Linked DNA regions of Elephas maximus indicus. The protein of the gene in region 4 purifies or fractionates together with the protein of the main gene of each other region. This does not show direct contact. Links are inferred from orthologs where the notes say so. Each region holds a gene or a part of one and is shown on either strand. Other genes may lie near its edges.

Evidence for each region.
Region 1: the proteins of ANKRD28 (region 4) and PPP6R1 purify together in Homo sapiens (co-immunoprecipitation; 4 studies listed by BioGRID and IntAct, with this or other methods). This does not show direct contact. The link is inferred for Elephas maximus indicus from reciprocal best matches to the Homo sapiens genes ANKRD28 and PPP6R1.
Region 2: the proteins of ANKRD28 (region 4) and PPP6C purify together in Homo sapiens (affinity purification with mass spectrometry; 9 studies listed by BioGRID and IntAct, with this or other methods). This does not show direct contact. The link is inferred for Elephas maximus indicus from reciprocal best matches to the Homo sapiens genes ANKRD28 and PPP6C.
Region 3: the proteins of ANKRD28 (region 4) and PPP6R3 purify together in Homo sapiens (co-immunoprecipitation; 3 studies listed by BioGRID and IntAct, with this or other methods). This does not show direct contact. The link is inferred for Elephas maximus indicus from reciprocal best matches to the Homo sapiens genes ANKRD28 and PPP6R3.

What each region holds. Positions count from the first base shown.
Region 1 is NC_064829.1:91,749,383-91,756,600, forward strand, and holds the start of PPP6R1 (serine/threonine-protein phosphatase 6 regulatory subunit 1), read left to right. Parts: upstream 1-4,198; 5' UTR 4,199-7,015; coding exon 7,016-7,018; exon of another isoform or gene 7,019-7,049; intron 7,050-7,218. UniProt on the Homo sapiens protein: Regulatory subunit of protein phosphatase 6 (PP6). May function as a scaffolding PP6 subunit. Involved in the PP6-mediated dephosphorylation of NFKBIE opposing its degradation in response to TNF-alpha.
Region 2 is NC_064827.1:76,190,061-76,197,584, forward strand, and holds the start of PPP6C (serine/threonine-protein phosphatase 6 catalytic subunit), read right to left. Parts: upstream 3,006-7,524; 5' UTR 2,909-3,005; coding exon 2,834-2,908; intron 1-2,833.
Region 3 is NC_064825.1:131,203,583-131,210,741, reverse strand, and holds the start of PPP6R3 (serine/threonine-protein phosphatase 6 regulatory subunit 3), read right to left. Parts: upstream 3,007-7,159; 5' UTR 2,888-3,006; intron 1-2,887.
Region 4 is NC_064845.1:36,545,120-36,551,944, reverse strand, and holds the start of ANKRD28 (serine/threonine-protein phosphatase 6 regulatory ankyrin repeat subunit A), read left to right. Parts: upstream 1-3,818; 5' UTR 3,819-5,264; coding exon 5,265-5,381; intron 5,382-6,647; coding exon 6,648-6,731; intron 6,732-6,825. UniProt on the Homo sapiens protein: Regulatory subunit of protein phosphatase 6 (PP6) that may be involved in the recognition of phosphoprotein substrates. Involved in the PP6-mediated dephosphorylation of NFKBIE opposing its degradation in response to TNF-alpha.

The DNA.
Region 1 (7,218 bases), on a different chromosome or scaffold from region 4:
CCAGCACAATTAGATGGTGCCCAGCTACCACTGACTGCTTTGACAGGGATCACAATAGAGGGTCCGGGACAGAGCTGGAGAAAAATGTAGAACAAAATTCTAATGCACACACACAAAAGATCAGACTTACTGGTATGACAGAGACTGCAGAAACCCCGAGAGTACGGCCCTTGTACACCCTGTTAGCTCAATAATGAAGTCCCTCCTGAGGTTCGCCCTTCAGCCAAAGATTGTAGACAGGCCCACAAAACAAAACGAGACTAAATGGGCACATCAGCCCAGGAGCAAGGATGAGAAGGCAAGAAGGGACAGGAAAGCTGGTGATAGGGAAGCCAAAGTCAAGAAGGGGAGAGTATTGACATGTCACGGGGTTGGCAACCAACGTTACAAAACAGTATGTGTACTAATTGTTTAATGAGAAGCTAGTTTGTTCTGTAAATCTTCATCTAAAGTACAATGAAAAAATTACAGCCTGGAAAATCCTACCAGGCAGTTCTACTCCGTCTCGTGGGGCTACTCCAAGGCACCTAACAACAAGAATATTGGGGAAACTACAGCTGAGTCAGATGGGTCTTAAAGAATACTGGCAAGGTCTAGAAGAACGCTTCCCATTACAAAAGGCTTTGTGCAGCGACTAGGAACAGAGAATGACTGAAGTCAGGCCCAGAGGAGATGTCAACAGAGAAACAAACAAACAAAAAACCAAGCCCGTTGCCTCCGGTTGATTCCGACTCACAGCGACCCGACAGAGAGAGAATAAATAGGGTGAGGTCAAACCACCTTAGTTTGGTTGGAGAGAAAGGCTAGATTGCTTCCAAGAGGGAAAGCCCGGGATGGATTTCCCAGCAGCGCGACCCTGGAGCCAGAGTCGGTATATAGTTGGAGAAGATCGAGGATACAAAAAAACAAAAAACAAACCCGTTTCCGTCCAGTCCATTTCGACTCATAACGACCCTATGTGACAGAGCTGACGAATTTCCAAAGGAGAAGAGAAAACCCGGGGCAGCATTCCTATTGGACTCTAGAATGGAATCGTAGAGAAATTGGCTCCTGGGTGTGCCCTGGTGGTGTAAAAGTGGTTAAGCGCTGGGCTCCTAACAGAAAGGTCATCGGTTCAAACCCACCAGCCGCTCCGCGGGATAAAGATGTGGCAGTCGGGTTCAGTCAAGGTCACAGCCTTGGAAACCCTTTGGGGCAGGTCTACTCTGTCTGATAGGGTCGGCAAGAGCCGGAACTGACTGAACGGCGGTGGGTTGGGTTTGGTTTTGCTGCAGTGGCGCCTGCGCACCGGGCCGCCTGGGTTTATCCGGGGAGAGACCGTTGGCAGAAACTGGCGCAAGCGGGGCTGTGACAGCAGCGGCATTCCGGGCGGGCGGGGCGGGGAACGCCTGGGCCCGACACGCATGCGCACTACGGGGCGCGGCCGCGGCGCACCTGCGCACGGAGAAGCCGCGGGAGGGCGGGGCCTGTAGCGTTCTCGGCGCTCGGGGGATTGTGGGATAGTGGTGGAGAGCGGCTGGGCGTCGGAGTAGCCGGAGTGCGGACGCCCCGGACCTCCGCTGGTTTGGGGAAAGGAGGGTTGAGGAAGTGGGCCTCGGCTTCCGTCGGTGGCCGCTCCGCACTGCGTTCGGGCCACAGAGGAGGACATCTTCCCCGCCTGCCCTCTGCTTTTCCACGGGGTGCAGGGCTGAGGAAACCGGGGCGACGTCCCGTTCCCTCGCTCAGACTTCTCAGCCCAGCTCGCTGCCCGCGGCTTCAGTCGTCGAACCCCGGAGGTGCCTGCGCGGGTCCCGTGACCTCCCCACCCAACGAACCCCGCGCTTACCCCCGAACTCAGCGGAGCTAGGCACGCGGGGCCCCCCATTGATCAGAGGGCGCGTGCGCGCCGCGCAAACCCCCGACTGAAGCGCCTGCGCACCGAGCGCCCCGCGAGACCACTGCGTCGCCCCCCGCCCCCACTTACCGGGTCCCTGAGCAGGGGCCGGAGCCGCCTGCAGCGGGGCGGGGGGGGCGCCCCGATGAGCCCCGAGTGCGAGGAGCCGCCGCCCCCCCGAGCAGGTGAGCCGGCCGGATCCCGGGACCCTTCCCCGGAGTCCAGGCCTCCCGAGTCTCCGCTCCCCCCGCCCCGGGCCCTCTAGAGCCTTACCAAAGTACCCCTCGGGGCTCCCCAGTCTCTTCCCTGTCCGGGCCACCCCCCATCTTTCTCCTCGGGCCTCTTCCGTTCCTTCTTTGGGCTTCCCCCTAGTCTGTGTCACCTCAGCGTCCACCGTCTCGCCTAAAGTCTCCATTTCTTTTCTTTGGCCTATTCCCAGCCCACCTCCCTCTTCCCACTCGGCCTCCCCAGTCTGTTAGTCTCTTCCCCTGTGGTTCACCGCCAGACCACTATCTTTTTATTCTTTTTCGGATTCATTCCCCTCCTCTTCTTTTCTCACCCACCCACCCACCACCTTCTTTCCCTCTCAGACTCACCCCCCCCATCTTTTCTCCGTCCAGCTCATCCCCAGCTTACCTCTTCCTTCCCCCTAGGTCCCTCCAGTCTCATAGTCCCTCCCTGCTCTGCTTCATTGCCACTCTGTCACCTCCTTCCTCCCTCAGATTCACCTATCCCCCAGTCTCTTCTTCCTCTCTCCCATCCCCCCAGTCTCTTAGTCTCTTTCTTCCTCACCTCATCCCCTTCTTCCCTCTCGTACTCATTCCCCCTGCCCCAGTCACTTGCCCCTCCAACCCACCCCCTTCCACCATACCTACTCCTCTCTGGGACTCACCCCCGCTCCCAGTCTCTTCCCCCTTGAGCCTGCCCCCCTCAGTAGTCTGTCTCCTCAGGCACCCCCATCTCTTACTACTGAGACTCTTCTCTCTTGCCCCCATTCTTTTGCGTCATGCCTTTGCCCTCCTTCCTGCCTTCCTGGATTCACTGGTCCCTGTTCATTCTGATCCTTGGGCTCAGGACATAAAGTAGTGGCGCTTTCCCTTTACCCTGGCTGTGGGTCCCCCGTACCTGGTGGTCTTTGGCTTCTGGTTGTGAGGAGGGATCTGGGAGCCCGCGTTCTCTGGGGCGGGTCCTGTTTTTGAGAGGAGGCCTGTTTCTGAGGGCAGGGTGGGGTACTGGTGCTGGACCCAGAGAGGGGACGCTGCCCTGAAGGAGGGATGGGTCCCTGGGGAGACAAAGGCAGAGCTGGGCAGTCACAATTACTGTGTGTGGTGATAGAGGTAACTCAGGGCACCACTGCGGGAGCCCAGGGAGGGGCAGGGACTGGCAGGACTGGCCAAGCCAGTGGCTTTTCTGTCGAGGAAGGTTGAGTGGGAGTTGACAGATGGAGAGTGGGAAGAAGGGCATTCCGGGTGGAAGGAACAACCAGTGCAGATACGTGAAGGTGGGGGTGTTGGAGGGTCTGAGAGAGGGTATATGTTGGGGGGAGTGGGCAAAACACCTAGAGCTGGAGCTGGTTACCTTGGAGGTGGTGTTCTGGCGAGGGTCCTTCCTGCTCCTTCCTGTACCATGTACACACACACCCCTGTTTGAGGACACAGGCGTTACCATTTACACCAGCCTGGAAAGCAAGATGTTTCTGGAAAGGAAGGTGTGTTGTCAGATGTGGGACTTGGTTAGAGCTTAGCAAAACTGCAGCAGGGTTGCAGCCAACTTGAGGAAGAGGTTCCACCTCGGCTCTCACAAGGTGACAATGGCAGTGACTCAGAATTATCTGGAGAATACAGCGTGTGTGGTTTGTGTACATATCCTGTATGCTAACATGTACGTGTAGAAACGGCCACCACACCCTGGGACACGCACTTACCACGTGGAATGGCAGTTGGTTTTACTTGCTCTATTTAAAATGTTATTTTCTCTGTTCTCTTTCTTTTTTAAAGCTTTTTTCTACTGCAGCATCATTTTGTGTAAATTAAATGAGACCACGTGACTTGTTTTCTGGAGTTTTACACCACATTTGGGAGGCAGTGAAGGCTAATAGTTTAGAGTGAGCTCTTTTGTTGGACAGACCTAGGTTCAAGTTCTGGCTGTCCCACTTGCTAGTGGGGTGACTGTGGACATGCTGATCAGAAGCTCTGTGCCTTCTCTTCCTCATCTGTAGAGTGGGGACAAAGTGCCCTCCTCATGGGGTTGTTCCAGGGGTTAAGCTTGACGTATGTAGAAGCTCATAGCAGAATGCAAGGTAAAGAAGCTGCTCCAGGATCAGTTGCTCCTGTGATTATTATATCTGGCTTGGGATCATCTATTGCAGCATTTCTCAGCTGGGGGTGATTGTGCCCCAGGGTACACTTGGCCACATCTGGAGACATTTTTGATTGTCACAACTAGGGGGAGGGTGCTACTGGCCTCTACCGGGTCAAGGTCAGGGATGTTGCTAAACATCTTAGGATGGACAGGATAGCTCTGCATGACAGAGGATTGTTGTTAGTTGCTGTTCAGTTGACTCCAACTCATGGCGACCCCATGTACAAAAGAATGAAATGTTGCCCAGCCTTATGTCATCTTCATGATCTTGGCATGTTTGAGTCCATAGTTGTGGCCAATGTGTGTTTTGAGTGCCTTCCAACCTAGGGGGCTCATCTTCCAGCTCCGTATTGGACAGGATTCTGTTGTGATCCATAGGGATTTCGTTGGCTACTTTTCAGACATAGATCACCAGGCCTTTCTTCCTAGTCTTAGCCTGAACGCTCCACTGAAACCTGTACATTATGGGTGACCCTGCCGGTATTTGAAATACCAGTGGCGTAGCTTCCAGCATCTTAGCAACATGCAGGCCACTGCACTACGACAAGCTGACAGACAGGTGGTGGGAGGCAAAGAATCAACCAGCCCAAAATGTTAACAGCGCCAAGGTGGGGAAGCCATAATTTCTTGTTTGGGTGTAGTTGGGCTTATCTACTTTTTTGCTACCTGTCAGTGGCTGTGTGGCTCTGTGCATCATCATGTGTTTGGATTTACCTTTCTTTTTTTCGGTAGTTAGCCTCTGTTGGCCCAGCTACTGTTGCTTTCCGTTTGAGGTATATCTACTCCCCCTCGTCCTCCACCCCTCAGATTTTTTTATTCAGGCTCTCTGGTCAAGTGACCTCAGCAGATCATCTTCCCCCGCTGATGTTGATTTTGTTTTTGTCGTTGGTTTGTGACTTAGGAGAACCCTATGTGTTACAGAGTAGAAACTGCCCCGAAGGGTTTCTTGGCTGTAATCTTTATTAAAGCAGATTGCTAGGCCTGTTTCTTACACAGTACCTACTGGGTGGGTTCAAACTGCCAACCCAGCTGTGTGCACCACCCAGGGACCTTCACCCTCCCCCTCTGGACTTTAGCCTTTGCTAATTTAGCAAGTGCCCTGAGCTCTTCTCTGGGCCTGGCCTTGCTCTGGGTCCTGGGGAACCAGCCCCTTCAAGGGCGTACGGATGACTAAACAGGCAAATTGCATCACTGAGCACCCCGGTGCTGGCTGAGGGGTGGCCATAGACACAGGCCCCCAGTGATATCGTGGGGGGCGCGGTGGCTTCCTGGAGGAGGTGCCTGGTCAGAGAACTAGAGGAGAGGCAGAGGGAGCTGCACGTGCAGGGCAGAGAGGAAGGGATGCGTGCGGCTGAATTTTGAGAGCCATGTGGGTTGCAGCAAGAGAGAGGTGAGAGGCTTGGAGGCTCCAGTGGGTTGCCTTCCCCAACTGCCTGGCACATGGCTTGTTGGCTGGGGGGCATAATCCCCTTCCCACCCCAAACCAAGTGTCTTCCTTTGAGCACCAGCTTTGTGGGTCCTTCGCTGGGAAGTGCTGCCTGATGGTAGCCCTGTGAGGGGTTTCATAGATGGGGAGACAGAGGCCAGTGGTGCTCTGCCACCTGTTGTAGATTGAGTTTGGGCAGGTGAGATTTGCCGCACCCAGACCTTCCTGACTTAACTGCCCTGGAGGCTCCTGAGGCTGTAGCACTCTGCCCGCTCTGCTTTTCCAAGGGCTCTCCGTCTTAGAGTATATTCTTTGATCTTGTCTTTTTTCCAAACCTGTGGCCAATGCAAGAGATGAGTCCAGAATGTGAACATTGGAATCCCCCCTACCAGTTCTCAGCAGTTGCTTCTGTCTCCCAATTTCTTCATCCCCTGGGGTCAGGCAGAGCTGGCACCTCCGCTGGGAAGGTGTGATCCAGAAGGCATAGGGGAGGTACCCCCTAACGGGGAATGACCCCCGTCCCCAGGCTTTCTAAAGCCTCAAGGCTCCCAGCCCCAGCCTGGTCTCAGCTTGTCATTCTGTGTAACCTTGGCCAGGTCCTTTTGCTCCTCTGGCCTCAGTGACCCCTTTTCATTAGTGGCTGTCCCCGATGCCTACCTTGCCAGGGTGGTGGCAGCCCTATGGGCCCTAACTTGGAAGTTGCTGGGGTCGTTGTTCCATCCCATGGGAAGCCCCTTCCAGTCCTGGCATTGGCATCGGGTGACCTGACCTCCCCTCAGACCCTGGGTGCTGGCTGGGTGAGGGGGAAGTTGGCGGGAGGCTCTCCTGCCATCCTCTGAGCTGCCCTGCTGCCGCCGGGCCCTTTAAGGGGCTGGGCCCAGGCTGCCGTCCGCTGCAAGCAGGTTCTCTTCCCCGCACTTGGACTTGCCCAGCCAGTTTCTAATTAGAGCGGCAGCCCGTGGGCCTGTCATCTCTGCAGTGGAGGCGGATCAGTGGCCTGCGGTGCCCTCTCCTGAGGCCCAAACTGGCCTTCTCTGCCCTCTGATCCCGCTTGCCGAGGCATAGGGCCCTTCAGGTGGCCTGTCCTGGGAGGCCCTCCCAGCGGCCCCTGGGCCCTTCACCCCCACTTCCGGGTGCCTTGGGGCCAGGGCAGGAAAGACGGGTGGTGGGGAAGAATCGGCTGGGTTCCCTGGCAGCCAGAGCTGTGTTTGGACTACAGCAGCCAGCGGGACGGCTCTTTGGGAGCTGTAGCTAGGCCCTGCCTGAGCCTGGGGCAGGGCCTGCAGGCTCCAGAGAAGGAAGGCAGCTGGTGTTGAAGGCCTCAGGAAACAAAGCAGGAGGAGGAACGAGAGGTGATGGTGAGGACCTGGCAGAGGGAGAGTTACAGAGGTAGTTTTCGTTTTTCATGGCCTCCTTTCTCATTTATAAATCCCCCTTCTTCCGTTTACAGCCAGAGTCATGGTTTTCAAACGGTTGCTGAAAACCATTGGTAGTCACTTCCGCTTTCTAGAAGTTGCTGAAAGTTGCAAAGGATGGGGGTGGGGGTGCAGAGAAGTGT
Region 2 (7,524 bases), on a different chromosome or scaffold from region 4:
AGAATCACAGGATCTCTTTGTAGGTTTGATCCAGTACTAGTGATATAACCACTTCCAATTTAGCTAAAGAGAAATCTCAGATCTAGAACATGCTATGCGTTTACTATTTCATTAGTACCTCCAACTTCTAGTCAATCTAAAATTAATACAGGTAAATTTCCATTATTTTCTTTTTTACTAGAACAAATCTTTTCCATTAAGATCATTAAGTGGCCCTCATAACTTCTTTCCCTCCTCTGACAGAATCTTGTATCTTGGCTTTGAAGCCTAAGAAAAGGTGCTCCTGAAATACTTTCTTAGTCAGACTAATTTTGGTTTGCACTTCATGCCAAGAAACAAAAATAAAATCAAATTTCCTTAAATACACCAAGACAAAGATGGAAATCCTCTACTTATATGGAAAAATTAAGGTTCTTTTTCCTCAGTAGTTGCTCAGAAGATTCAAAATTAAAAAAAAAAAAAGTTTATTTATAAACATGCAAGCTAAGTACCAAACCAAAAAAAAAAAAAAAAAAATGAAATTCGTTGCTGTCAATTTTTTTTTTAAAGAAAATGAAATGGCTTACTATTTCCTAAGTGAGAAGAAAAGCTAATGTTTATCAAACTAAGAGGCCTAAAGAAAATCCAACTGATTATTTTTCAAATCATTTTAGTATCCAATTTCAAGTCAATATTAAGACACATTTTCCTAATAAAAGACAACACTTCTTATAGACACAAAGTTTAAAACAGTTCCAGTATGATTAATAAAAAGAAAACAAAATTTCACATCAATTCATTGATATGCAACGATCAACTTCAGCTATGGGATTAACAATACTACCAAAAGAGGTATGGTTAAAAAAAAAAAATTTTTTTTTTTTAGTTTCCCATAAATTGGGTCCCAGTGTTGGTTATATTCTTGTTTCCCAAAAAAGCATATAGCAGAAAGAAGTCACAAAGCTAATATCTGAAGGACTCTGATTAGCATGAAAGCTACACTACTAATATCTGCTTTGTTCTCATTTAAATTAAACAGTCCTATTAAAAAGGGAAAAAATACACAAGAATGACTCCTCTATCATGTTGTTGTTGTTGCCATCGAGCTGGTTTTGACTCATAGTGACCCTATGCACAACAGAACAAAACACTGACTGGTCGTGCAACACTGCCTGGTCCTGCGCCATCCTCACAATCGTTGTTATGCTTAAGTCCCTTGTTGCAGCCACTGTCACTCCATCTCATTGAGGGTCTTCCTCTTTTTTGCTGACCCTCTGTTTTACCAAGTGTGATGTCCTTCTCCAGGGACTGATCCCTCCTGATAACATGTCCAAAGTATGTGAGACATAGTCTTGTCATCCTTGCTTCTAAGGCACATTCTGGTTGTACTTCTTCCAAGACAGATTTCTTCGTGCTTTTGGCGGTCCGTGGTATATGTAGTATTCTTCGCTAACACCACAATTCTATCATATGGCATATATAATTAACATGCCCTGGTGGCCACAGTGGTTAAGAGCTTGACTGCTAACTAAAAGGTAGGCAGTTCGAATCCACCAGCCACTCTTTGGAAACCCTATGGGGCAGTTGTATTCTGTCCTATAGGATTGCTATGAGTCAGAATCAACTCAGACGGCAATGGGTTTGGTTTTCGTAAGTACATTCCCAACAGCACAAGTGACCTTAAACATTTTGCATACTTGTTTGATTGATGTTATGTTAAATATCAATTTTCTGTACCAAGGGAGACAACAGAAGAAAAAGACAGTAATCTCTTCTTTACGATAAAGAATTCAAAAACAGAGATAAATTGCTTTAAACCCATAGCTTAAAGAATAAAAAGAACTCAAACGACCAACAATTTATCTATCCCCTTACCACATAAGAGATCAAAGTTTAGTGAACAAATAAAACAGGTATTAGCACTAACAGGTAAATAACTTCTAGACACCGAAGTATTGGTTTTATTTTAGCAAGCACATAGAAACACTTTTTTAAAAACCAGTACAACAAAGACTTATACTCCTCTACTTTGACATTCATTCCTTTACTCTTACTTACTAGGACTGGGCAGTTAACAAGAACAACTCACCTCCTTTAGAAAACAAAGAAAATGAGATCTTGAGTTAAAAGGAGATTGTGGGCGAATGACTTAAAAGACAGAAAAGCACTTGTATTTACTGAGGTCCTACTACCTCAACTAAGGATAACTCTTAACTTAGCTCAGTAATATACTCATAAACCTAATTCGCATTTGAATTAGTACAACAAAACCAACACTCCTAAACAGCAACTGGAATGGAGGACAACTTGACGTTCCCTCACATCGGTACCAAACCGCTCTGGCCAATCGCCTTCCCACTCTTCAGTAACCTAAACACACCAGGACTGCGTTCCGGGACGCCGGCGGTATCTCCCGTCAAACACCAGTCACCCCGGGCTCCTGTCACCTCTAGTAAAGACGACCCCATCTCGAGAACACTGCCGGCTAGGGCTCGGTTCGGACTCCGGGAAACCCGGGGGTGGAGGTCGGGGGGAACCGTCTTCTAAACAAGGCTGTTAGGGCTCGGAGTCCTGGGGTAGCCCTGGTGCCAGAAGGGGTGACTCTGGGGCAGGAGCCGCGACTTCCCTCGGGATTCCTGCTGAGGGAACCAGGACGGCATTCGAGGGACCTGGGCTCCTGGGCTTTCCGCGTGACGCCAGGTCGAACCGAGCAGCTTTGTACGGCACCGGGCCGTCCACAGCGACGGGACGGGATACCCGGCAGTGTACCGCGGAGGAAGGGCGGGACGGCGGGAGCCCCACTGCCGGAAGGGGCGAGCCCCGCAAGCAGGGCTCCCGCCCTGGCCAGACTCACCTTCAGGTCGTTCTCCGGCAGGTACTTGCACAGTCGCGCTATCTCTACATACTTGTCCAGGTCTAGGGGCGCCATTTTAGAAAAAAGAAGCCGCAAAGGCGGCGGCGGCAGCGGCGACTGTAGCAGCGGCGGCAGCGGCAGAGGCCGAAGCCGGAACTCTTCTACGTCACGTCCGGCCGTGAGAGAGGCGTCTGCGCAGCAACGTTAAAGCTCGACCTGATTCCTCATGCTGCCTGGGCACGGCTCACGCCCTCTCTGGCTGCACGCAGGCTGCAGGACCTTAGAGCCCCCGGCCCGGCGACCGAAAGTGGCCGGGGTTGTAGTTGTCTGCCGCGGGGAATGCTGGGGTTTGTAGTTTGTATTTGTGACCATCTATTCCTCTTTTCTTTCCCGTCTCTCCCTCTAGACTTTCACCTCTGGGTACCCGGCAAGGATTTTCCAATGAAAAACGGCAAAGTAAGCTTCCCTATCCATTTCCTGGTTTCTCATTCCGACCATTCTAAGTACTTGCCTCTCTGTCTTACCAGAACATCTCCAGTTAAAAATTGGGTAAGCTTAGCCATGGTAACCTGTTTGCACCTTTCCGAGGCCTTGTGAAAACCTTGCCTAAACCTGTGGCAGAGATGTCAGGCTCCCAATCTTCCCTTCCTGGAAGAATGGAAAACAAATATTCAAATATTTCTTATGCTAAATGCTTTACAGATGCTGTTATTCCACTGAATCCTCATAATGATTCATAGGAAACAGGAGAGGTTAAGGAACCTTCCCAAAATGGCACAGGGAATACCTGCCAGAGCCGAGATTGAAAAATAGGTCTGCTGGCTTAAACATACTTCAGTGTGAGTCTCAGGAGGGCAGGGACAGATATATACAGAGAGTCACTCATCGCTTAATGTCCACCGTACATTCTGTGGAATAGGACATTATATGATTTAGACATGCAGACACCATTTTATATACTGTCACTCTGTTTTTAAAAACCTTAAAGCCTGGCACTGACTTGGTTTCCTTAAGGATGAAAGCCCATTCAGGCATTTGCTTCCAGAATAAAGAGGTTTTGTCCATAATACAATTTTGCTGGGGCAAATAACCTCCCTGTACTATTAGTTTATCTAAGGTTTCAACAAATTCTTCTGCTGCCTTTGTATCAGCACTCACAGACTCACCATTCACTTTAACACTATGCGGCGAAAACCATTGTCTGAAGCATGTGAACCACCCAGAGCTAGCACTAAACTCAGCATTGTAGTCTGGTCCTGCTTTTTCGTTAAGCATCTCGAACAAACTTTGTACCTTAGCAGTGATCATCAGTGTGCTGGGGGGTTCACTTTTGTGTTTGGTCCTCAATCCATGTCATTAGCAATTTTTCCATATCTGATGTAGATCCCTCTTGCGTTTTCTTTAGCCTTGTAGCTTTCGGTGGAACTGATTCTTTAACAGCTTGAAGAATTTTTTCTATTTGTGAGGATCGTCATGATTGTTGAGAGCAACATGGCTAAATCGTGAGCAAGAGCATTCACTGATTTTCCACCTTAATGTTGTTGTTAAGTAACCTTTTATTTCACTTCCAAATCAATACTTCTCCTTTGCCTCTTACTGCTGCCATTACTAGCACTGGTTTTGTTGCATTTGGGAGCCATGATGCACTGTGTGGTAATATTTTTGAAACAAAATTAAACAGATAACAGTACAACACTCCAGAGATGTGTGATACATGAGATCGGATGCTGCTGCCTACAAGTTGAAGCATACAATGTTATATAATAAAGTTTTTATTGCTAAGTAGGGAAACTTCACATTAAAATGACAATAGGAAGTACAGTACATACATAAGCCATTAACAGGTGTTTACTATGACTATCAAGACATATTGTATGTTATGTATGTACTGTACCATTATACACTTAGCAGAGCAATTGCGTTGTATACAAGAGACATGAGATACATGTGTTATGTACTGGAAGCCATTGCATTCACTACAATGTTCTGTTCTACAATCAGGATTTCTGAACTCTATTATAACCTTATGGGACCGCGGGCATATATATGGTTGAACATTGCCCAAACAGACATTATACGGTTCACGGCTATGTGTATATGTGTGTGTATATAATATATATATGATGCATGACATAGCACATGCTTATATATGTGTGTGTGTGTGTGTGTGTGTGTATATATTTATTTATTTTTTTTTTAATCCCTAGCACCAAGAACAGTAGGGTTGTAGGTGTTTGGGATATTCAGTGAACAAAATAGACAAAGATCCCTACCCTCAACATTTTAGCAGAGGAAAACAGAACATAAACAATAAACATAATAAATAACTATAAAAAAAATGATAAGTACTATAGAGGAGAAACAAACAGGGTAAGGGAGATAGAGTATTGTATTTTTAGAGCCAACAAAGAGATGGGAAGTTAGCCATGCAGCTACTTCGGTGAATTCATAGGAAGAGCTAGTGCAGAAGCCCTAAGACAAGAGTGTATCGAGAGTCTTTGGGAAACAGGAAGTGTGTGCTCGGAGCAAGAGTAGGAGAGAAGATCAGAGGAATGGAGGAAAGGAGAGCATTGATTTTACTTTTAATGGAATGGAAACTATTGCAGGGCTTTGAGCAAAGGAATAACATGATCTAACTTGTTTTTTTAAAGGCTCACTCTGGCTGCTGTATGAAAATGTAGAGAGCAATGGTTACAGCTGAGAGACCAGTTAGAAGACTGTTACATAATACAGTAGTATTCAGTGAGTATTTCTTGTTAAAGTAACCCTGGACTGGATCCTCATGCTCTAAAGTATATTTTTGGTACAATTAGGTAAACTTTAATGAGGTCTCTGCGTGAAGTTCTTTGTATTATTCTTCCAACTGTTCTGTAAATTTGAAGTTGTTTCAAAATAAAATTAATTTTAAAAATAAGTGTTGTTTATAAAGAAAATGTTCTGCATTCTACTTTGGTGAGGAACATCTGGGGTCTTAAAAGCCTGTGAGCAGCCATCTAAGATACTCCACTGGGCTCATCCCTTCGGAGCAAGGGAGAATGAAGAAAACTAAAGACACAGAGAAAGATTAGTCCAAAGGACTAACGGACCACAACTATCATGGCCTCCACCAGCCTGAGCCCAGTACAACTAATGGTGCCCATCTACCACGACTGACTGCTCTGACAGGGATCACAATAGAGGGCCCCAGACAGAGCTGGAGAAAAAATGCAGAACAAATTCTAACTCACAAAAAACGACCAGACTTACTGATCTGAGGGAGACAGGAGAAACCGCAGGAGTGTGGCCCCCGGACAACCTTTTAGCTCAGTAGTGAAGTCGCTCCTGAAGTTCATCCTTCAGCCAAAGATTAAATGGGCCCATAAAACAAAACATTACTAAAGAGGCACACCAGCCCAGGGGCAAGGACTAGAAGGCAGGAGAGGACAGGAAAGCTGGTAATAGGGAACCCAAGGTCAAGAAGGGAGAGTGTTGAGACGTCATGGAGTTGTTAACCAATGTCATAAAACAGTATGTGTACTAACTGTTTAATGAGAAGCTAGTTTGTTCCATAAACCTTCATCTAAAGTTCAAAAAAAAAAAAACTCACTAATTTGGATTAATAGAAATGAAGCTTATACAAGAAATAAATAAATGTTGTTGCAGAATGAATGCTGCCCATAAGCATTCATTTCTTCATTCATAAAACAAATAGTTATATAATGCCCATGATGTGAATAAGACAGCTATGGTCCCTGCCCTTGTGGAGTTTAGAGTTTTCTAGAAGACAAATAATAAGCAAATAAATGAGCAAATATTTCATTGCAAATTATGATTACTGCTAAAAAGGGAAAAAAGGGATATTGCGAGTAAGAAAAATGGAGTAGAAGAGACCGAATTTAGGTTGGCAGTATGGTAGACATAAAGTATACAGACTCTAACACCAAATGGCCTGATTTCAAATCCTGACTCTACCAATTACTGTGTGATTTTGGGCAATGTATTTATCCTCTTTATGCTTTAATTTTCTCAGCTTCAATATAGAGAGGATAATAGTACCAGCCTCTTATGAAGAGACTAGTATTGAGGTTTAGTAGAGTTAATATGTACTTAAAAGTGTTTTGCACAGAGTACAATTTGAGTGTTAGGTCTGAGTATTAGGTGGGAAGGAAGGTCCTTCAGATGAGGTAACATTTAAGACTGAGGAATTTAAGAGAGCTAATATACTAAGAGTTTCTTGGAGAAAAATGTCCCCATTTGGAAATTTTTGTTGCTCCTGTTGTTTGATTTTATTACAGTCCTCTTTGGAGATCTGGCAATTCACTTTTCATCTCTAAACGTCTGGGCAAATAGAGAGATGGATGTGAACATTCTTTATAGACTGTGAAGTGCTTAAAAGGAAAGTGTCACCAGCATCATTGTCTTCCTTTGCTAATGGGTCTGTGAACAGATAGGTAATGAAAGCTGGTGGTATCCCCTTCTAGTGAAAAATAGGTGGCAGTCATCACGTTACCAAACTGGAAGCAAGACGTTCCCTCCTGCTGACCCATCTCACTGAGCAAACCTCATTCCTGACATCCACAATGGAAAGGAAAGAAAAAAGCATCCTCGGGACTGTTGGGTGAGTCCTTGCAAAAAGTGATAGTCACATCTGGTATTGTGGCATGGAGACATTGTGTAGAGCTTGGTGACTAGAATGCATTCTTAGTGTTCCT
Region 3 (7,159 bases), on a different chromosome or scaffold from region 4:
AAAAATTCCTGGTGTTAAGTCGATTCCGACTCATAGCGACCCTCTAGGACAGAGCAGAACTGCCCAGTGGGGAGTCCAAGGAACGGCTGGAGGATTTGAACTGCCAACCTTTTTGGTTAGCAGCCTGAGCTCTTAACCACTGTGCCACCAAGGCTCCAGACCAATATATAATACTGCCTCTCAAATACTGAAAACACAAAAGTGGAAGATACAGGTTTATCACAGAAGCCAAATACTGGTCCTGACAAATATTCTGCTTTATAAATAAAAAAGATGGTTTACTTGTAATAAGCACGTTACTGCTGCGCCAAACAGGCAAAAATGTGGCCTCCAACAAACCCCACCCTCCGACAAACCCCGCCCTCCAATAAACCCCACCCTACATCAAGTCTTAATTCTATTACTATTCATTTCCTGTCCAGCTATGGCCAATTCTCCATCAGCAAAATGAAACTAGGGAGTTTGAAGGTTTTTTGCTATACTTTACATAAAAGAAGTCAAAGCTTTCTAAACCCAAAAACAATCTTTTTCCTGTTCTTGAGTCCTGATACAGCAGCAAGTTGCTCATCTCTTCTAGGCACAGGAAAACACACTTCTCCAGCGCAGCCAAGCAAGCTGGATCCCAAGCAACCACCACCCAGGGAAGGCAAGCAGGGCTCTGGGCACCACACTGGAGAAGAACACAGGGCGTTAAGTAAGACTGTAAGGGTATGTGTGACTGGGTGGCTGACATCTTGTAAAACATCCTAGACTCCCTGATCAGACAGGGACAAAATAGCTTTCCAAGTATCCATTATCAAGGACTAGAATTATTTCCCAAACTATCCTCACTGAAGTATATCTCAATACCCAGTAACCTTTCAACATCTTAGCTGTGTTAATCCAAATCTCAGTTAACAACCTACGGGGTCCACTGAGAAACGCCTGAGTTACTTATTTGGCGCCGAATACTGACTCGCCAGTCACACTCGTAAATGGTATCCAGAAGCACAGGAGGAACAGAGTCCCACTCAAGCTCTTGACAGGCTCTTCTGTATTTAACCACCTGGTACAGAGAACATCCTGAGACAGGCCACCAATTGCTCTGGCAAAGTATGTAGCTGAATCTCCAACTACCCCTTCCCAGAAAAAATGACAATAACTTCCAGTTCACTTTCCCAGTTCCAACGAGCTCCTAATACACAGAGCTTTCTGAAGATGGTTACCAAGAGCCAGGGCTTAAGCACTCATCTGACTTCTTAAATCACTGCCATGGAACTGATTACAACTCACAGCGACCCTGTCTGACAGCAGAACTGCCCCACAGGGTTTCCAAGGCTGTGATCTTTATGGAAGCAGACTGTCAGATTTTTCTCCCTTGGAGTGGCTAGCGGATTAGAATTGCTGGCCTTTCAGTTCGCAGCCCAGCACTTAACCACTGTGCCATCAGGGCTCCTTCGACTTCCTAACAGTATCTAAATATTTAAAAATCAAATTTAAATTAATAATAGCCACAAATTACTGCGCTGATTCTATGTGCTAAGCACAGTTCTAAGTGCTTCATATGTATTAAATCATTTACGCCCAACAACCTTGTGAGGTAGACACTATTATTATTTCCATATTTCAAAGGAAACAGAGAGGTTGAGCAACTTGCCCAAGGTCACAGAGCAAGAAAGTGGTCAAGCACTGGAGTTAGAATCCAGACAGTCTAACTTCAGAGTGAAGAAAGCTCAACCACCACGGCTAACCGCGTATCACACACTTGCTACTGAGGGCACATTGCAAGGGCGGAAACCTGGAGTCCCTTTCCCACTTGTTGTCCATTTCCAACCTGACCTTGAGGACAAAATCAAAGTACCCGTCCCATTAATTAAATGGGATAATATCGACCTTAACAAGAGCTGCGAGGATGAGAGAAATCAACCACAAAGTGCCCCTCCCATAAACCCAACACAGAAACCACAGCTCGACCCGTCTACGGAGAAAACGTCCAGAACCGAGGAAATTCCATGAAGTTATGAAGCTAAGGAGTCAGGACGCAGAGGTCCACCCTTTAAAGGCTCGTTCTGTCCACTGCCTGTAATCAAAGCCAGCAGGACCCAGCTAGGAGGCACGACCTCCGAGTTAGCAAGGACCGGGGCTATAGGGTCGCTAGGAGTCGGACAGAGGGTCTGGTCTTTTTGGTTTGGGGCTTCTTTAAGAGGGAGGAACTCCCAGCCACAGGAGGACCATCCCCCAGGCTCGCACTCGCCCGGGAGGCGTTCGCGACCAGGTCTGCGTTCGAGTCACAGCAGCGGAGTCTGAGATCACCTGGAAAGGCGTCTAAATACCCCGAAGGGACCCGCGCGGCTCTCCCGACTCTGCGGCGAATTACCTGGAACCGACAAAACTTGTCTCCCGGGGAGCGGGGTCCAACAATGGCCTTCGCGCATCGCCCCCGAGCTGCTGCCGCTCCCGCGGCCCGACCGACAAGTTCCCAGGGAGCGGCGGCCGGGCCCGGGACTCCGGGGACCCCCAGGCCCCGCGCGGGACCCCGGGCGGCGCTCCGGGCGGCGGGACGCCTGGAGCCGGAGCCCCGAGAAGAGCGCGCCTCCGCTGGCCGCCTCGCCCGCCCGCCGCCGCCGCCGCCGCGCAGGCCGCGCCCGTCCGGGCGGGAGCAGAACTGCCCGCCGGGCTCGCCGCCCGCCCTCGGCCCGGCCCGACGGGGCCTCGGCGGGGAGCGCGGCCTGACAGGGCGGCCGAGGACGGCCGGAGGACTCGCCGCCTCCGGGCCGCGGGGCGAGCTTATTCCGGGGGGGAGGGGAAGAGGGACCGGACGCTCCTGCCCGCGCCCCGAGACCCGGCCGAGAGCCCCGCCGCGCGCCCCCTGCGCCGCGGCCCGCCCGCCGCCTCCCCCCGCGGTTACCTGGAGGTGCCCGCGACCTGCCGCAAGTCGCGCTCAGGCGGGAAACGCGCTCACCGACACCATCAGCGAAGCGCCCAAAATGGCGGACGTATCAAGCAGGCCTTGAGCTCCCCGCCCTCCCTCCGGCCGCCTCGCCGCCAATCGCCGCTCTGCCCCGCCCCCAGCTCAACGCGCATTGGCCTGCCTTCCCCGCCCCCTGCGGCCTATTGGGTGGGTCCTCAGCTCCGCGGCCTCCACTCCGATTGGCCTGTGGAAGGCATCAGTCAAGTGCGAAGGGCGCATTCTTTTCCCATGGACTTGACGGATCCGGAACCTCTAGAACCCTGGAGCCTGAGAAACAAATCAGAAACCAGGAGAAGCCTGGTGGAATCCCCCTGCGCCATAGCAACAGCAGGGACTCCGCCTGACGGACGTTGCTGACCACCAATCCGAGGAAACAATGCCTTTTAAAACTGAATGGAGCCAAACCAATCCTGGCCGCGGGCATCGGGCGGCAGGGGAGCCAATGGATGAACCCGATGTCCAGGGGCGGGGACGCGGCCACGGGGACGCGAATGATGACGTGAGCGCTATGTGCTTCCCGGCGACGGAAATGGGTCAGAGCTGGGGAATTAGCTCAAGTGGTAGAGCGCTCGCTTAGCATGTGAGAGGTAGCGGGATCGATGCCCGCATTCTCCACGCTGCATTTTGTAAAAAGGTGCCGTTGGCCATTCATCCGCGCCAAGGGGCAGTGCCGGGATTCGGGTCAAGGTGGAAAGCTGGCTTTCCCTCTCTCGCTGTGGCGCCCACCTCCGCGGGGGAAAGCAGGACTGATGGGGTGGCGTGTCCCTTTTGTCGTCGAGAAGGATTTACACTCGAGTGGCTCACAGAACCGCCGGGGCTCCTCCTCCCCGAGAGGCTTCCCGGCCACAGGACCCCCTTTCCTTCCGGTGAACCGGCCCGAGACACCCACGAGTCCCGGGCGCCCGCCGTCGGCGCTTCCTAACAACCTGCCTTGTCCCAGCGTGGACTGGAGGCGCCTTTCAGAGTCGCACGGAAATCAACAAGAGGGCAACAGTTAGAAACAGGAGATGAAAAGGACAAACAAGGTCCGCCGAGTGGAGTCGGATGCGAGGTCGCACCCCAAGGATGTGCTTGGGATGGGGACCTCAGCAGGCAGGCTGGCCTGTCCGTTCGTGCAGCAGCTCTGTACTGGGCGCTGCGGGTGTGCAAGGACTGTGGGGTACAGGGGCGCAGACGTCCTCGCGCCTCGGACACTCAGTCCGCAGCCAGAGAAACATCAGGGAAGCCGACCGGCTGGTGGCAGAGAGTGCTGGACGCCCTTCCGAGGAGGTGACATTTCCACCAAAGCCCGCAGGACAGGAGGGACAAGCCGTGGGCTCTTGGGTCGGGCGTGGCAGGGATTGAGACCCGCGCAGAGACCCCAAGGTGGGGCTTTGGAGTGCTCACGGTACAGAGGAAGCTGGGGGTGGCAGGAGAGGGACAGGACAGGAAGAGTGGCAGTGGTGAGCAATGGGGCAGGGTCACGGAGACCTCTTAGAACAGTGCCACAGGCCTGGGGGAACTCAACAGCCCCTGAGGCGCATTACTCAGAGGACTCCGGGCCTGGAACCACAGAGGGGGCTCCAGGCAGGGGGCTGGCAGGTCTCCCCCAGCCTCTGCCAGCAGCTGCTCCTGTAGTGCCAGCTTGGTCTTTCCAGGTCAAATAGGGTACCTGGGTGACTGAGACTTCCCCAGGCTGCCTCCAGGGGTAGAACTTGGCCACTGCAGGTGGGGGCGGGGGCAGGACCAGCCGAGTGGGTGCCACGCTGCGTCTTCCGCCTCCAACCTCCTTTGGTTCTGATCGCCTACCTACCTCTGGGCTCAGTATCTGTCTGCACCCCTGCCCTCGCTCCTTACACAGGCCCCAGCTGGCCTGAACTCGTCCAGCTCACTGAAGAGTCTGGTACTGCAGGGCGAATCTGGCCCAACTTGGCTTGTTGGGTCAGCTCCGGGGAACCGGGTCTCTGGAGCAAACATGGGCACACCTCCCCAGCTCAGCCCTTCGGCAGACCCTGTGGCTGGAGGCAAACTCTCCAGGAGGAGCTGGTTGCCGACAGCTCCAGAACAATGTCTTTGTTCCCGTTTTACAGATTAGTTAGCTGAGGCCTGGAGAGCATTTAGGAGTACCTGGTGGAGTCAAAATCGACCCCACCGCAAAGGGTTTCTTTTTTTGTTTTGTTTTGTTTTGTTTTTGTGCTTTAGATGATGGTTTACTGACCAAGTTAGTTTTTCATTAAACAATTAATACACATATTGTTCTGACATTGGTTGCTGACCCCACATGTCAACACTCCCCTTCTTGGCCTTGGCTTTCCCATTACCAGCTTTCCAAGCCCCTCCTGCTTTCTCATCCTTGCCCCTGGGTTGGTGTGCTCATTTAGTCTCCTTTCACTGTATGGGCCTGTCTAATCTTCAGCCGAAGGGTGAACCTCAGGGGTGACTTCAGTACTGAGTTAAATGGGTGTCTGGGGGCCATACTATTGGGGTTTCTCCAGTAAGTCTGATCTTTCTTTGTGAGTTAGAATTTTATTCTACATTTTTACCCAGGTCTGTTCAGGACCCTGTATTGTGATCCTTGTTGGTGGTGGTAGCCAGGCGCCATCTAGTTGTGCTGGACTCAGTCTGGTGGCAGGTTTGGGTTTTTCTTGTTTGTTTGGATGGTGCAAAGGAGCCCTGGTGATGTAGTAGTTAAAAGCTTAGCTGCCAACCAAAAGGTCAGCAGTTTGAACCCACCAGCTTCTCCTTGGAAACCACGTGGAACAGTTATAGTCTGCCCTACTGGGTCACTATGAGTTGGAATTGACTCAACGGCAACGGGCTTGGCTTGGGTAGTACAAAAGGAGCCCTGGTGATGCAGTGGCTAAAGCGCTCAGCTGTTAACCTAAAAGTTGGCAATTCGAACCCACCAGCAGCTCTGCAGGAGAATGATGTGGCAGTTCACTTCCATAACGATTTACAGCCTTGGAAACCCTATGGGCAGTTCTCCGTGTCCTTTAGGGTCTCTATGAGTGAGAATCGACTCAACAGCAGTGGGTTTGGTTTAGTTTTTTGTGTGGTACAAATGGTTAATCACTGGGCTACTGACAGGAAGGTTCGCTGTTTGAACGTACCCAGAGGCACCTCAGAATAAAGACCTGACAATCTGCTTCCGAAAGGTCACAGACTTGAAAACCCTGTGGAGTGCATTTCTACCGTGCAACACTCGGGGTCACCAGGAGTCAGAATTGAATGGACAGCAACTGGTTTGGTTTTTTTAGGAAGCATTTGGGCACCAAGTGCTACCCAAGTGGCTGGGTGATCTAACTTCTCTGACTTTATGGTTTTTATGTGTAAAGTGCAGGTGGTAACATCAACCAGCCTGTGCCCAAGCCCTGAGGGTGCTGGGCCTCTAGGGAGGCAGAAACCAAGGGCAGATGTTGCTCACACTGACTCTGCTGCTCACTGAGGCTAGTGAGGGACACAGTCAAGAAGGAAACAGATTCAGAAGGTGTGCTCAGTGCAGGGGAGGGCTAGGGACGGTGTGTCACAGATAACCCGGGGCGGGGTGGAGCAGTGTGGGAAATGCACTTTTTTGGAGGACAGGGCTGGGGATGGCAGCGGGGTTGGGGCTGGGAGAGGGGTTGGGGATGAGAATAAGAATAGGAATCAGGTCGGGAACCAGCCAGGGAGTCCTTGGAGGACAGGGGAGGAAATTTGGGGTTTATGCTCAGACGGGAAGCCAGAGAAAGCTTCAGAGCAGGAGAGGGACCTGTTCAGGGCTGCCCATACTTCAGGAAGGTCAGGTTGGAGCAAGAGTAACAGGGGGTGGCACAGGAGTCCAGGCCAGAGGGCCTGGTCCAGGGAGCACAAGAGGGGCTCCAGGGAACCCTAGGGCACCTAAGGGAAGCTGGGCAGGGGGCAGGAGGGACAGCTCAGTTGGCGTCTGACATCTGCCCTGCCCTCCTGGGGGGCCTGGGGAGGTCCCAGCCACCACTGATTTACCCACATCGATTTACTCACTCAGGGAGTCCCTGGGTGGTGCGAACGGTTAAGTGCTGGACTATTAACCAACAGGTTGGAGGTTCAAACCCACCCAAAGGGGCCTCGGCAGTAAGGCCTGGCAGTGTGCTTCCAGAAGGTGACAGCCTTGGAAACCCTTCAGAACCCCGCCGCTCTGCACACATGATGTCGCCACAAGTCAGAATCGATGGCGACTCACAGCGTTGACTCGTCATCATCAAAGCATCAGCC
Region 4 (6,825 bases):
AGATTCAGTGTGAGTATTTATGATAAATGTTTTCTTCTCCCTATGCTGATTTTTCTTTGCTTAGACATGATAATACAGTGAACTGCTTTCCAAGCCATTCCTAGTCAGTCATTGTTCTTGTCACAATTTGTTGCAACTAGTGTCTCTAACCCATTTTATTTATTGAAAGTTTAAGTAATTATACCTACTTGAGTATGGATGGTAGAAGAACAGGGCTAGAAGGATATATGCCCACTGATTGACAATTAAAGAATAAGATTATCAGGTAGTGTTAGTTTCAGCTCCAAATATCAGAGACTCAAAATCACAGTGACTTATTTAAAAAGGAAAAAGTTATTTGTATCTGAGAAAGAAATGCTTGTGTAACAAAATAGGAACATGAGAATAGTCTTTCACATGCGAAATGCAGGGTGGAGAGGAGTGTGCTGTCACATTGTAGGGAGAGCAACTAGGGTCACATAACAATGTGTGTATAAGTTTTTATATGAGAAACTGACTTGAATTGTAAACTTTCACTTAAAGCACAATTAAAAAAAAAAAAAACAGTCTTTCAGGGCCTTAAGTTTTTCATCAGTAAAATGAAGGTTTAAGCCAGCTTTACCAATATGTGAGTCTATGAACAGTAAGAATAAGCTCTATTAATAGGATACATTTTAGTATAAAGAAAAGATTATGACATTGTCAGGGTTGAATTTGTTGGCTTATTGAAAACTTAATCTAACGAATATGACTTTAAAAGTAACCACCTAAAGAAAAACCACATCCCCTTGCTATTTCCCTAACTGGGGGGGGAAAAAAAAAGTTGAACTTACGGTTTACACAATCTTTGTCAGTAATTTTTCATCAGAAGTACTTTCTCCATTCCTAATTTCTTAATTACTTATGTACCTCTCTCCTTTTCCTTTAAGATGTGAGTTAGGGGCCTTTCTTAATCAGTAGAAGTTAACAAGATATAAAACAGTGCTGTACGGTGCTACTAACTTAGATAATTTAAAAAATGCAGTATTTATCTCTTAATTTTTTTTTTTTTATCTTTGATTATATAATATATGGTAGACCTTTCTCTTTCCCTAGACTGTGAAATACAATGAATGTGGAAGAATGTAAAGAACCTGTGGTCCTATTTCTTAAGTTTACTGGTCCCTCCATCCTACCCCCAGTAACACTTGTAAACTTCTGTCTGGTTTCTGAGGTTCTGATTAGCCTCACAGTTACTAAGAGGATGGGTGCCTGCCTGTGTGTGGTTAGCCCTATATCTGCTCATTGATTTCACAAGTGACATCATTCAACTACTCTGAATATCTGTAATAACAAGATTATCTTATTTAAACTTCACAGCAACACCATGAAGTAGGTTCTGTTGATGTATGTCGTTTAATAGATTTTGGAATGAGACACAGGTTAAACTTGCTCAAGGTCACACAGTGGGAATCTGGATTGGAATCCAGGCAGTTTGATTAAAAAAAGCTTTAATTATCAATCACTTTGCTGTTACTCTGTTTCTCCTCAGTAAAATCCCTGGGGATTATTATTCTAATTTTATAAGTGTGAGGAAACTGAGGCTCAGGAAATTTAAATAGTTTGCCCAGGGACACAGCTAGTAAATGATGGAGTCAGAATTTGAACTGTAGATAGGCTGACTCCTGAGGCCTTATTTTTAACTATATCACTGTTTTATATTAGCTACTAAATTTAAGTTGCTCACTTAATAGAGATATAAAATTCACTTTATTACTCATTAATGCTTATGTTTTCTCATTAAAGCATATTGTCTTTATAATTCTGCCACTCTATTCTAAAGTCTTGCAACATAGTAGAATTTATTTCAATGAAATTATTTCCAGGTGGAAGAAAGCAGAAGGAAACAATATGTATATAACACAGCCTCTGCCTTCAAGGAGCTTGCTTTGTGGTTGGGAAAGACCTAAATATGGAAGTTGGCTTAGAACAAGAAACAGGATATACCTGCTTCAGTCTTAAGTAGGTGAATTTACACGCTAGCTACTTTGGAACAAGTTAAAATTGCCTATTTAAAAAGAAAAATATCCTGAAGATAGAATATAGAGTATGGTTACTATAACGGTTTCGTTTTCAGATATTAAGATGTTATTTTTGATTCACCTTGTGGAGCTGGTTGATAGCATTTTTGTGTATCAGGATATTTGCAGGCCTTTAATGTGGCTTAAAACTATTTTACATTTTAAGATACAACTCTCTGAATTGTTAACATGTTTTAGTACTTTGGTTCAGATATGTAAGGTTTATAGGCTCTTTCACAGATTGATATTCTATGGCTTTTAACGGTTTTTATTAAATTTCTGGCATTCTTAGATGCTGTTTTGTGTGTGGGTATGTGCGTGTATGGTTTTGATAAGTAAATTTGCTTAACATGTGAGTGAAGACTAGCCCTGAAACACCCATTTAAAAATAACTTTTTGGAATATTATTGCAGTAGATAGTATATTACTTTATTACCTAAACTTTTCACGACCATCACAGAGACCGCCTTTTTAGCTAGCAAAAATCTTGAGAGAGTGTGTGTGTGTATACACACACGATGAAAGCAGAATAAAAAAACGTGTTTGGAGTTAGCACAACTTTACCAATTTGCATGACTTTGAATAAAATACCTAATTTCTGAGTCTGGTTTTTCCTCTATAATATGGAAATGTATCAAGCTTATGGAGTGTATTAAGTGGAAATGTACAGCACCTAAACCCAGTGCCATCGAGTCTGCTCCGACTCATAGGGACCCTATAGGACAGAGTAGACCTGCCCCATAGAGTTTCCAAGGAGCGCCTGGCAGATTCGAACTGCCAACCCTTTGGTTTAGCAACCGTAGCACTTAACCACTACACAGCACCTGACATGTCATAAATGTCTAAAAAAAGCTATGTTTATTAATAAAAGTATATGTTGATGAAAGAAAAAACAGATTTAAAGGGGACGGTGGTATTTTCTTTGTAATTTTTCTGTTGGCAAATATCCTCATTAGGGACACTTGTAGCTTTGAGGAAATTCTTTATAGGGGAGAGAGATTCTTTGTTTTCTTTGTGTTTATCTTATGCCCTTTTGGCATACAGATTGTTTGGTACCAAGGACTTTACACAGTTGTTTTGTGCAGCTATTTAACAGATTCTTAAGGCTTTATTCCATTTTCCAGATGGAAAGGTAGGTTTAGTTAATTTCTTCAGTTAAAATGCAAATGATTTATAGGATATTAGAGTTAGAATTTCTACATTGTGAAATTTTTAATTTTTCACTCTAAAAATACGAATTAATGATTGAGTACATTCAACTAATTAAAGTTGTTAGAAAAATCATAAATTTTTTTGTTTAAACTTTGTGTTTTTAGAAATAACATACATCTGCTAGGTTAAAAATGGTCTCAGTTAAAAAAAAAAAAAAGAATAAAACCTTTACTAGGTTCCTGGTTTTTGTATTCTGATAAAACGTTTGTCTTCATTTCTAAATCTTTTTCGTGGGTTCACCGCAGACATGTTCTTACTGCAGCTGTCATTACAGGGTTAAACATTTGCTGTATTGTAACATACGAAAGCGGTTAAGCTGTTTGGAATTGTTTACTTGCTAAAACCAGTGTTAGTCAGCAGAGGCAGTACACCAGATTTCCTTGTGGCTTTTAGTGGAAAATGTTAAAAGCGCACTCGTTTTTCAGTTATAGAATTTTTCGGTTTGATCTGGATTAGTCACAGAACTGGCATGAGTTGTCTAATTGTGAAGGCTGTCCAAATGCACTATTTTTTTCTCCTGCTAGAGGAAGTTACATCCTGAGCAGTAGCTCAGATCTCTGGTAAGTGTAACATGTGAGCATTACTAGGCGTTTCATCCTGCGGGTCTGCAGTCTTTGCTCTTCCGACTGTTGCCCAGTTGGAATGCTTCTGTGGAGCCGATCCTGAGGTTGTAGAGAAATTTTTGAAGGACCTACTATTTGGGGTGTCCGTGGTTTTTTGCAAGATCATCTGAGAAGCAGGAAAGCTTCTGAAGTCTACTGAAAAGGATAACTGAAGTGGTTTTCACAGTGGAAGGAAAAACTCTGTTGGCACAGAGGCAGATGATTGAATAAAGTAGTTGGTTCAAAGAAGATGCACAGTCTGCTGTTTTTTTCCTCTGAATGAAGACTATTTAATGGGAGCTGTATTCGTGTGGAGATCAAAGGAAACACTGGAGTGATAAACTACTGCCTTTTTTTTTTTTCCTTTTTCTTTTTCTCCTCTTTCTTTTTTAAGAAAAAGCCTGAAGCCGTAATTGGAGCTCACATGCCTTCTAATTCCTTTGCAGACTGCTTGTTCTATTAGGATTCTCCTCTAACACCGTTTCTGCCTGGTGCCCTTTTGCTGGAGCAGCTACAGACCAACTGCCTGATGTAGAAGGAATGAATGATCTGCCTCGCTTATGCTATTGATGGAAATAAAGCTATCCATGTTTCTTCTATTATTTGGGAAGTCTGGATTAATCAAGCTGTATTCTAGTACCAAGAGTCCTATTGTCCCCTGTGGGCTGACTCATCGTATGTAAATGTACTGCAGCTTTGCTATTAATGCAGAGTGGTGTTTTTCCCCCCTTTTCTTTCTTCCAAAACACAGAAAGAATTGTCAACCTCTAAGCATCATTTTCGGAATTTGTGCTGAGCTCTAGATACTTTTTTTTTTTTCCGGGTAGTATCTGCATTAAACCAGTGAAGCTGAAGAAATGAAGACAAATTAGAAGTGGAAACAGAATAGTGAGATTTTTTTTTCCAATTATAAGAAAGCCAGCTACTGGTAACTATATGACCTTGCAGGCAAGAGTGGGTATAGCTGTGATCATCTCTGTCTCAGCGGTTGTTTCTCATTTCATTTCTACATCGTGTGGTGTTGTATCACCAAAAACAGTGACCTTTTTGTGCAAGTAAATTTAGAGCAATAGGACTATTTTGGCAGGGGAAAAGTATTTTTAAGTGAGCTTGTACTGGACTCAGTTTTAGTTATTGACATGTTAATGTGAAATTTCTTTTTAGGTATTGCAGTAACCCAGCAGAAAATAATAAAATTTTGTTGTTTTTAGAAAGTTACAAGCTTGTGGTCATAATTTTAAACTTCAGTTTTTCCAGTAGTACCTAGTAACTTAAAAAAAAAAAAAAAACAGCTGTGCTGTTCGCAGAGAATGTTTGTAAGTGTTGTACAGAAGAGGAGGAAAAACTACTTGTGCTCTTCCAACTGTGACTTTTACCATATAGCTTTGAATTTAGTATTTTAAAAGAGCGAATGAGTCGGGTGTGTATTGTTGTTTTGGAGGAGGTAGAAGATGAATCTCCTGCATTCATTTCTAAATTGCCACAGGAAAATAAATCCCTACATTCTCTACCTTCTGGAAATGTATTGGTAAGATATGAGAGTTTATATGTTTACCGTATGCTACTGAACTATTAGGGGGAATTTTATTTTTTAAGAGTAGACATAAGTTAGTTTCCAATAGTTTAATTAAAAATCTGAATTAAAGCACTATAGATGCATAACTGTGATGCAGTCTTGCTTGTGTGTAAAATACACACGTTTCTCATTTTTAATTTTTTAAATGCTTAGATAACATTTCAGACTTTACTGTCTTAAAAAGATTTTTGAAAAATAGTAGTTATGGCAACCACGTTTCTGTTTTCATCATGTGGTTTCAGAAACCCATGTAACAAGAAACAGGAACTCTGCATGTTTTAGGAAAGCTTGACAACTACCAGCAACACTGAGGCATGGCCTTTTCTGTAATGGATTTTATGTATTTACATGCAAGACTTTATATGAAAAAGAACCAAACTTCATCTTTAACTTTATTTTTAATGCTTTGTTAATGGCTTCTTTCACTAGTATAATATGGAATCAGAGAGACTGTGTTGTAGAATAGGAAATTGTTATATTTAGACCATGCACGTGTTTGTCTCTTCACGCCATTCAGGTATATGTATTTTTTTTGTTTTTTCTATAACAGGTATTTTCATCAACTGCCAAATTTGCCTTCTTGGGATCTGTATGTTTATACATATAGTGCTAACCCATACAAGTTATTTTGATGCCCTGAATAAGCCTTTCTTCACGGGCTTTAGCATGGGCTGCGAGCTGCTTGTTTAAGTTGTATCCCACAAGTAGATACTGGGATGTCATATTAGCGTTTGGAAGACTTTATGTATAAATAAAAGGCTTCAACTTAAAAGGAAGAAAATAAAATCTAATTGTGTTTGTTATACCACCTTATTTAGGTCAAGCTGAGGTGATGTATTTTTTTTTTGCTATTGCTGGGTGCCATCAAGTCGATTCCAACTCCTAGCGACCATATAGGACAGAGTAGAGCTGCGCCATAGGGTTTCCCAGGTTGTAATCTTTATGGGAGCAGATCCCTGGATCTTTCCTCCCTGAGAACAGCTGGTGAGTTTGAACCACTGGTCTTTAGGTTAGCCACTAAGCACTTTACCCATTGCTCTCCCAGGGCACCTGTTTTCTTTCTCTAAAGGCCGTTTTTTCCAAGAAGGGATCTTGTGCTTTAATATGATTTGGCTTCAGAAGACTTCTGGTTTATCTCAAAAGGGAAGACAATTTTTAGATTTAGGATACCATTTGGTAAGTGTGACTTAATGTTTTTATTACTCTCTTATATTTCAGCCATCACTGGTGCAAGCTATATTTAATGGAGATCCTGATGAAGTTCAAGCGCTAATATTTAAGAAAGAAGATGTTAACTTTCAGGTAAAACAATTAATTCACTGATTCTAACCTTTAAAATGACTTTTTAAAGCTCGTTCTCAGACTTGTGACTTTTATACAGATATAACAGTTACGT